Ovis aries: one gene and its partner. The protein of the gene in region 2 interacts with the protein of the main gene of each other region in a pairwise test. Links are inferred from orthologs where the notes say so. Each region holds a gene or a part of one and is shown on either strand. Other genes may lie near its edges.

What was found.
Region 1: the proteins of TRIM38 (region 2) and RFC5 interact in binary tests that used the Homo sapiens proteins (3 or more experiments, as listed by UniProt). The link is inferred for Ovis aries from reciprocal best matches to the Homo sapiens genes TRIM38 and RFC5.

What each region holds. Positions count from the first base shown.
Region 1 is NC_056070.1:57,206,530-57,210,697, forward strand, and holds the start of RFC5 (replication factor C subunit 5), read right to left. Parts: upstream 2,804-4,168; 5' UTR 2,699-2,803; coding exon 2,637-2,698; intron 1,170-2,636; coding exon 1,105-1,169; intron 841-1,104; coding exon 704-840; intron 1-703. UniProt on the Homo sapiens protein: Subunit of the replication factor C (RFC) complex which acts during elongation of primed DNA templates by DNA polymerases delta and epsilon, and is necessary for ATP-dependent loading of proliferating cell nuclear antigen (PCNA) onto primed DNA.
Region 2 is NC_056073.1:30,926,778-30,930,823, forward strand, and holds the start of TRIM38 (E3 ubiquitin-protein ligase TRIM38), read right to left. Parts: upstream 2,808-4,046; 5' UTR 2,728-2,807; intron 2,603-2,727; 5' UTR 2,573-2,602; exon of another isoform or gene 2,568-2,572; intron 1,389-2,567; 5' UTR 1,244-1,388; coding exon 845-1,243; intron 1-844. UniProt on the Homo sapiens protein: E3 ubiquitin-protein and E3 SUMO-protein ligase that acts as a regulator of innate immunity. Acts as a negative regulator of type I interferon IFN-beta production by catalyzing 'Lys-48'-linked polyubiquitination of AZI2/NAP1, leading to its degradation.

The sequences.
Region 1 (4,168 bases), on a different chromosome or scaffold from region 2:
TTTTTTTTCTTAACAATAGACAATATTTAGAATTTCATAATCTAAGTGGATCAGTCGTGTCCCAGCAGTAAACAGCACACTCAAATTCGGTAATTTGAAGAGAATTAAATGAAGAGATATTTTCAAAGGTGCTCGTGAGGTGTGGGAGAAACCACAAGAGCTATGCAATACCTTATGGGCTACTGGGGCCCATTACCACTCTCAAGTCTTAAGGGGTTGTTGGGGGAGTGATGCTGGCTCCTGGGGAATGCTGGGTGCTGTGCCCTGTGGGTGGGGACACTGTCCGTCTGTGGTGACCCAGGGCTGGACCAGGCATCATTTTTCCCCCAACTCCTGGCCAAACCCAATAGGAGCCAGAGGGCAAGGGAGCTTGTCGGCAACACCGCCCAGTCTTCTGGGACAAGAACAGTGTGGAGCAACATGGAGAAGGGCACATGGGATACAGCTAGCAACCAAGTGACCCCTGAGTGTTTGAGTAAAAGCTGGCAAAAGCAAACAAAAACACCTGGCCCTACCACTGCCCTCTAGCTACACCCAAAATCTCCAGGCAAAAATGTCAATTATAGGAAAAGTGAATTGAAATATTGTATATCTGCTTCTTTCCCAACCACCAGCAGGGCAACTAAGTTGGAAAACAAAACTAGCAGAACTAAAAATAAGAAACCAGAGTCCGTTGAAAGTTAAGGGTAATCCTCTCATTTACCTCCAAGACCATGGAGCCAAATTCCTTATCTTTGTACAGCTGTTTAGCACAGGCCAGGATGGTGGATGTCTTTCCTGTCCCTGGAGGACCATACAGAAGGAGGTGCGGCAGGCGGTCCTCACTGATAAACTTCTGAACTGAAGATGGGGGGAGAAAGACAGATGCTATCAGTCTCAGTCGCCTCATTCACCGCGGGCCAGAGTTGGGCTGAGTCTACTTCACATCTGTGTTCAAATCCAGGGCACGGGCAGGAATGAAACATCTGAAGGATGCAGCTGTCAGAGCCACATCCCAAAAGCTTAGTCAGATTCTTTAAGGTTATCACAGCAGAGACCACATCCCTAAGCAATGTATCCAGGTTCTTCAACTAGGATACCAGCCACTGACACAGGGATACTTACTAGTACTCAAGATGTCCTGATGAGAAATGAGATCATCCAGTGTCTGTGGCCGGTATTTTTCAACCCTAAAATACAATGTAGCATGCATTACAACATATATAAAGGCCAGAATATTTTGTTAGGTGCAGAAGAGTCCTTTCATACATATCCTAACTAAAAGAAGAGAGATACAAAAACCTCTAACCCAGTGGTTCTCAATTGGGGCAATTCTGTCCTCCAGTGAACTCTTGATAATATCTACAGACTTTTCCCCTGTCAAAACTGGGTGGAAGGTGCTACTGGCATCTAGTGGATAGTCATCAGGGAAGTTATTAAACATTATGAAATGCACAGGCTAACCCCTGTGGCCACGCCCCCCTGAAAAACTGCTCTCATTTCACCTTTCCAGCTATCTGCCTATAATCTCAACCTGGATGGGCACCTAACGTTAATCCAAAATTGAACCTGTATCCAAATATAAATTAACAGATGAATGGATCAATAAATGGTGGTATAGCCATACAGTGGAATGTTACTGGCAATAAAAGGACATGAACTGCTGATCTAAGAAGCCAGTCATGAAAGGCTACATATTGTATGATTCAAGTTACATGAAATATCCAGAATAGGCAAATTCATAGAGACAGTAAGTAGATGAGTGGTTGCCAGGAGCTGAGGGAGAGGGGAATGGGGAGTGACTGCCAATAGGTATATTGTTTCCATTTGAGGTATATGAAAAACTTTGCAACTAGATAGTGGATGATCACACAACATTCTGAATGCACTACAAAATCGCTACAACTGTAAATTGTATGTTATATATTTTTACTATAGTAACAACAAACCGAACTCATTATCTTGAAAACTTTTGAAAAGAAATAAGTTTTTCAAAATCAAGCCAAATCCTATCAGTCTTTAAAACAACAGTAAGACACAGTTGTGGAAGCAGACTGGCTAAGAATGCAAGCTCTGAATGTGGACCACCTGGGTTCAAATCCAAACCTATTTTCCAACTCTAGACCTTAAGCAAGTCATTTAACCTTTTGGTAAAGCTGGAATAACAGTATCTTCTTCCCAGGGTCTTTGCAAAATTCCAACATCTAATAGGGTGCGTGTAACAAAGTCACTGAAATATAAGTTAACTAGGAAGTGCTGTCATCATCATTATCATTATTCTAGCTTAGAATGTGACCAGTAATCGCACCGAGAGAAGAGACTATTTTGTCAAGAGAATATTCTGCCACAGAGGCCAAGGCAATGTCAGAAGACATGGGATCGAACCCATGTTGTCACCCAAGTGGGGAAGCCGTTTTCCTCTTCCGCAACAGGAAAGGGGGCCCTGGGTTACGGGTGAAGGGAGACCTAGCCAGTTATAAATAGAATGGAGCAGGACTGGGGAGTTGAGGGCAGGTGAACTTCTGTGGCTCCACCCCGGCCTCAAGTCCGGGGACTGCGGGGCGAGGTCGGGCTGGAGACTGGCCACTTGTTCACTCGGGCCACCGCCTCCGCGCGCGGCCGATCCCCTTCCCCGCAGCAGCCAGGCCCCCTCCTACCAGGGCAGGTTTCTGATCTTGGCCGCCTCAGGCTGCTGCTGCTTGTGCGCTGAGGTCTCCATAATGATGATGGTGATGATGGTGGCCGGTGGGCTTGTCGCGTTTCCCAGAGGCCCGAACCTCGCCAACAGCCACAACCAGACCCCGGGACCCTCGCACTTAGAGTTAGCGCGCAAACGCAACTCTCGCGAGATTTAGCGGCCATCGGACTTCCTCCCTAGGTCCCGCCCCCTCCCCGTTGCTAAGGCCCTGTTGCCTGGTTGCCGGCAGGCCCGGGCGGACGCCTCGCCCCAGCTCCGCCCTTTTCTAGCTGGATCTCCCCTCTCTGGTGTAGACCAGAGTCCTGAACCCAGAGGGAGCGCGCGCCTGAGAGGCACGGCCACCCCGTACAGCCACCAATCATCATTACAAATTAAAGTCTCACGGCCAAAGCCAATTCCAGTCGTCACCAGAGTTATAGCTGTTACCCTTCAAGGGAACAGAAAGCGGCCAGCGCTAAAAAATTCTGAGGTAAAACAACCCGAAATGACATGACCAGTTCTTGAATACAGATACCATAAAAAACAAGGCTTGAAATACTTTTTGCCCCCAAAGCTAGGAGGTGAGCACTTCAAACTGAAAAACAACTCCAAGCACAACTCCAACTTCAGTCTGTCTCTCAAATCTATGCCCCTCACCCAACAAAATTTACAGAACGACCTCCAGAAACAACTCCAGAGAGGAAAAAGTAAATAATAAGTAACTTCCCTCCAGGTTAATATGTGTAACTGGAAAGGGCTAGTTAGTAAGCGAAGAGGACAGGGTCCCTCTGACGTGAAGCTGCTGAGGAGAATTGGTATCAAAATGTTAGTATTTTTTTTCTGAGGTAAGGGGATTATGAACCACTTATGTTTTCTATTTTGCTGGTCTGTAGTTCCCAGCAATAAGTGTGTATTATATCCGTAATAAAGTTTGGCTGTTGTTTTGGCTGCGCTGGGTTTTAGTTGGGGCGCGCAGTATCACGCGAGATTTTCATTGCCGCCTGTTGGATCATTGTTACAGCACACGGTCTCTTCACTGTGGCATGTGGAATTTAGTTCCCTGACCAGGAATGGAAGCCAGGCCCCTGCTTTGAAGGCTCGGATTCTTACCTACTGGATCACCAGAGAAGTCCCTGCTTTTTGTTTGTTGGTTGTTGGTTTTTTTTTTTTTGCCATGCTGAGAAAGACAACAATCCTGAGAGGAGATGAGGCTGACCCAGGATTACAAGTGTTCTGATTTAGAAGTAGCTGCTCCTTGCCTCCTACTACCACACTGTCACCCATTTTAGGAGTAGAATAGAGGGACAGAGGGCAAATATAAAATGACAGTTATGGCTTCACCCTGGTCCCTTCCTGGGGAGTCAGAAGGGGGTCAGATGGGGCTGTGATATGACAATGTCCATCTGTCTGACTTACTTCATTTAGTATAATGACCTTATTCTTTATCATATGGATATCCAGTTTTTCCAACATTATTTTTTGTAGAAACTATCCAATGAGTATTGTGTTCTT
Region 2 (4,046 bases):
CCTTCCACTCACACTCTTTCCTGAATCTGGCTTAGAACTGATCTCTTTCCACTTCTCACAGGAATAATCTGAATTTTACTACTTAGTATTCCTTTCATTGTATCAGTACCAGAATGTTCTTTTCATTGTTAGCCCGATCTTTCACTCTGCAAATGAAAATCCCCCCATGGCCAGGACTACTCTGGGCTAGGATGCAGACCTGATTTTCATTCCCGTAACATCACCTGCCTCCCCTGCATACCCCCCGGCCTAGTCATAGCAAGTCAGGTATGCTCCCATGGCTGTGCTTTTGCACATGTGGTCCCCTCTGTCTGGAATGTCCTCTCCCTTCTCCATACTTCTATTAATATATTTGGTTAATTTTTATGTATTCTTCAAGAGTCATTCTTGGGAAGATTCCTTAGTTACTACTCCACACCCCTTAGGGCTCTGCTCCACCATCCAAATCAGGGGACTCCAGGCAGCCTGTTTGCGGATTTGTCTTTCCTATTAGACTGTAAGACATCTAAGGTGGTGTGTCTTTGACCCCTGTGTTTTCAGACTCTTTCCCATGGTCTTGCATATTGTTGTTTCTCAAATTACACACATGGTATGAAGCAATAAAACATGCAGGTGTGCACATGGCATTCTAAAGCAGGGAGGAGTTCATCAGAGCCAGAAAGGATAGGGACAAAAGTAACCTTTGGGACTTGATTTAGTGAGGACCCATCATTCTACTTTTCAGATGAATGACAGGATATAGGATTTCAGGATCCTAATCTTGGGTTTCAGGCCAAAGAATCTCAGGTCTCAGGGGGCAATATGAGGCCAAGTACTTGCCGAAGCCCTGTGGGCCACCACTCACCCTGTAGCCTTGGCATGCTTCTTCCACCAGAGCTGTGGCATGCCCTTTGTGCTGGGCTCCACGATCACAGAGCCAGCAGATAAGCTGGCCCTCGTCTTCACAGAACAGGTGGAGCTTCTCTCCATGTTCCTCACATGACATTTCCTGGTCCATCTCCTTGATGACTTCGATGAGATTTCCCAGCTGCTTGTTGGGCCGGAGGCTCTCCATGTTAAATGGTGCTCGACACTGGGGACAGGAGAATGTCTTCAGCCATGGTTGCATCTGGTAGAGGTTCTCAAAGAAGCTCACTATGCACGCGTGGCAGTAGCTGTGTCCACAGCTGATGCTCACTGCGTTAGTCATCAGGTGCAGGCAGATGGAGCAGGTGGCTTCCTCCCTCATCTTCTTTGAGGCCATGGTTTCTCCTGTAAAGCTCCAATATTGAATCTAGACACAGAGATGAAGTAATCAGAATTTTCCCACAGTGATGGAACTTTACCTCTCCTGAGTCTCTGTGCAATGCACTGGTTGCCACTGGTTTCAACAGGTCATGGAGTCTGCTCTAGAGAGAGAAGAAATAGGTTGGAATTTAGACGATGCATTGAATGTAGCTGTGTTGTGGAATATGGTCATGACTATTACATGTGGCCACTTTAATTACAATTAAATAGAATTTAAAATTCTATTTCTCGCACCTCTTAGCCATATTTAAATTGCTTAATAGCTCCAGGTGATTGGTAGCTATATGAAAGCCCCGATGGAGAACATTCCATCATTGTAAGTTTTCACTGAGAGAGGGAGAGAAACCAAGCTGACTTCCTCAACCAAAGCTGCAGCAAGAGAGAGAACTCAGTGAGGGACTGTTAAAGTTTTTCTCCCTCTAATGAACATCAAGAATAATTAGTACCAGAATTGTTTCTTTGTAAGTGGTAGTAACACTTAGGTAAAGGGGTGGTCTATTAAGGATTTGATTGAGACAATCAAATTTGACTCTAATTAAACCCTCACTCCTGCCCCACAAAGAACAAAAGACACCATAATAAAGTCCCTAGTGGAAACCTAACTGGATGATAATGAAAGCAAAAAAGACAACCAGAAGAACAAGTAAAGAAATCAAGTTCTTTTCCCCGCTCCCTGACCTGAGGAAAAAAGAGCTGGGAAGAGAAGGGGAGCAGAACTCCTTGACAGCTAGGGAGGTGACTCTCTTCTCCAAGCAGGACCTGTGTCTCAGGAGAAGTTCAGAGTGACTGGAACACAGGGAGTTTGCAGAATCCAGGATAGGGGAAGGTGAGAAGCAGATGGGAAAGCAGGGCCTCTCAACCCTGAGGGCTTAACCCCTAGGGACCTGACAACCAATAGACAAAGGAGTCGACCCTCTCACCCACAGCTTAGACTGCTTTGGGAACCTGGCTCAGTTCCCTGCTTCCTCATTCCTGGGAGTTTGTCGGGGAGGGCAGCAGAGGATGAAGGAAGTTGAGAGTGGCCTTTCCTTTGAACTGACAGGGCCAGAATCAAAAGCAAGGATTCAACTAAAGTTACTGGATAGGCTATGTCCCTCTAATAACCAGGACCAGTCTCTTGGATCCAAAGAGAATTTCTTCTGGAGATTTCTGTTCTTTGGCAGGTTATCTCCCCCAAGCGATACACTAGGCTCCTCTCTGCCACTGGTGCTGTGCTCCTAGGGAAGGAGGACCTCCCCTCCTCTGAGCCCCCAGGGCGCCTGTCCTGGACCTTCACTCACCTCACCTTCTGTACTTCAGAGATTTAACATGGAGTCTGGCGAAAAAGAAAGCAGACCCTGTGTGAGAGCCATGAAACAAAGACCCGGCTACCCCATCCCCTCCTCCAACACACATCTCCTATCCCTCCGTGGAGAAAACATGAGAAAACATGGGTCTGACCTTTTCCACTCCCTTCTCCACACAGCAGACAGTCACATACTCGCGCTAGTTCGCTCCGTAGCTGCTGGTTCCTGAGGTCTGGGTGAGGAAGTTAACTACAAACAAAAGTGAAACTACTTCAGAAGGCGGGGCCCTATAAGATCCGGGGAGGAAACTGGTGAAATGGCCCGTATCTTTTGCACTCAGCTTGTACTGAAAGGGAGGGAAGATGGTAGGAAAAATATTTTTCTTTTACAGCAATAAAAAGAAGGAACAAACTAATAATTTTGTTTTGATAACCCAAGTGATATGAAATTTCATCCCGAATATGTATAAAAATTGGCCTCTTGTTACAACTTACCAGGGTCTATTACTCTCTTTCTTTTTCTTTTCTTTGCACCCTCCTCAGCACCAGAGTTCTCAGAGCTCTTTCAGTTTCCAGGAGGTGAAATGGGTTTACTTCTAGTTCACCTTTATCACCCTTTGGGATCTCAGTTTTATTGGTGGTAGTGGAGGTGTCTTCTTTTAGACATATCACCTTTGCAGGATCTGGGCTTTGATTTTAGACTATCTTTATTTTCTAATGTAAACAGTTTAAGCTATACATTTCCCTGTAGGCACTGTTTAGTTGCCTCTCACAAAGTTATATATGCCTTATTCTATAGTTCAAATATATTATAATTTTTATTATGATTTTTACATGGTAGATTAATTTAGAAGCATGTTGCTTAATTTCCACAAATTGGGGGCTTATGTGATCTTAGTTCCCTGACCAGGGTTGGAACCCAGGCCCTGGCAGTGAAAGCACTGGAATCCTAACTGCTGGACTGCCAGGGAATTCCCAAGACAACATATGCTATCTGATTTAAATTCCTCTAACTTTATTGACTTGTACAGTGGCCTAGAACATGTCTATCATTATGACTATAACCATATGTACTTGAAAAGAATGTGGATGCAGATATTCAGTATAATTCAGTATAATGTTCTTTAAATACCAATTTGTTCAAGGTGATAGATAGGGTTTTTCAGTCTTATGTGACTTTTTAGATGTTTTATCTAGTTATTATATCACTACTGAAAGAAAGGTATTAAAATCTCCAACTAGGATTATAGAATTGCTTATTTTTCCCTTTAATTCTTTCCATTTTTGCATCATGTATTTTGAAGGCTTGTCATTAAGCTCATACACATTTATGATTACGTTTTCTTGATGAAAAAACGGACCCTTTTATCAGTACAGAACGGTACTCTTTATCTCTGGAAATGCTCTCTGTCTTAAACTCTATTTTTTATTAATATAGACACTCCATTCTTTTTATGCTTACTGTTTGCATAAG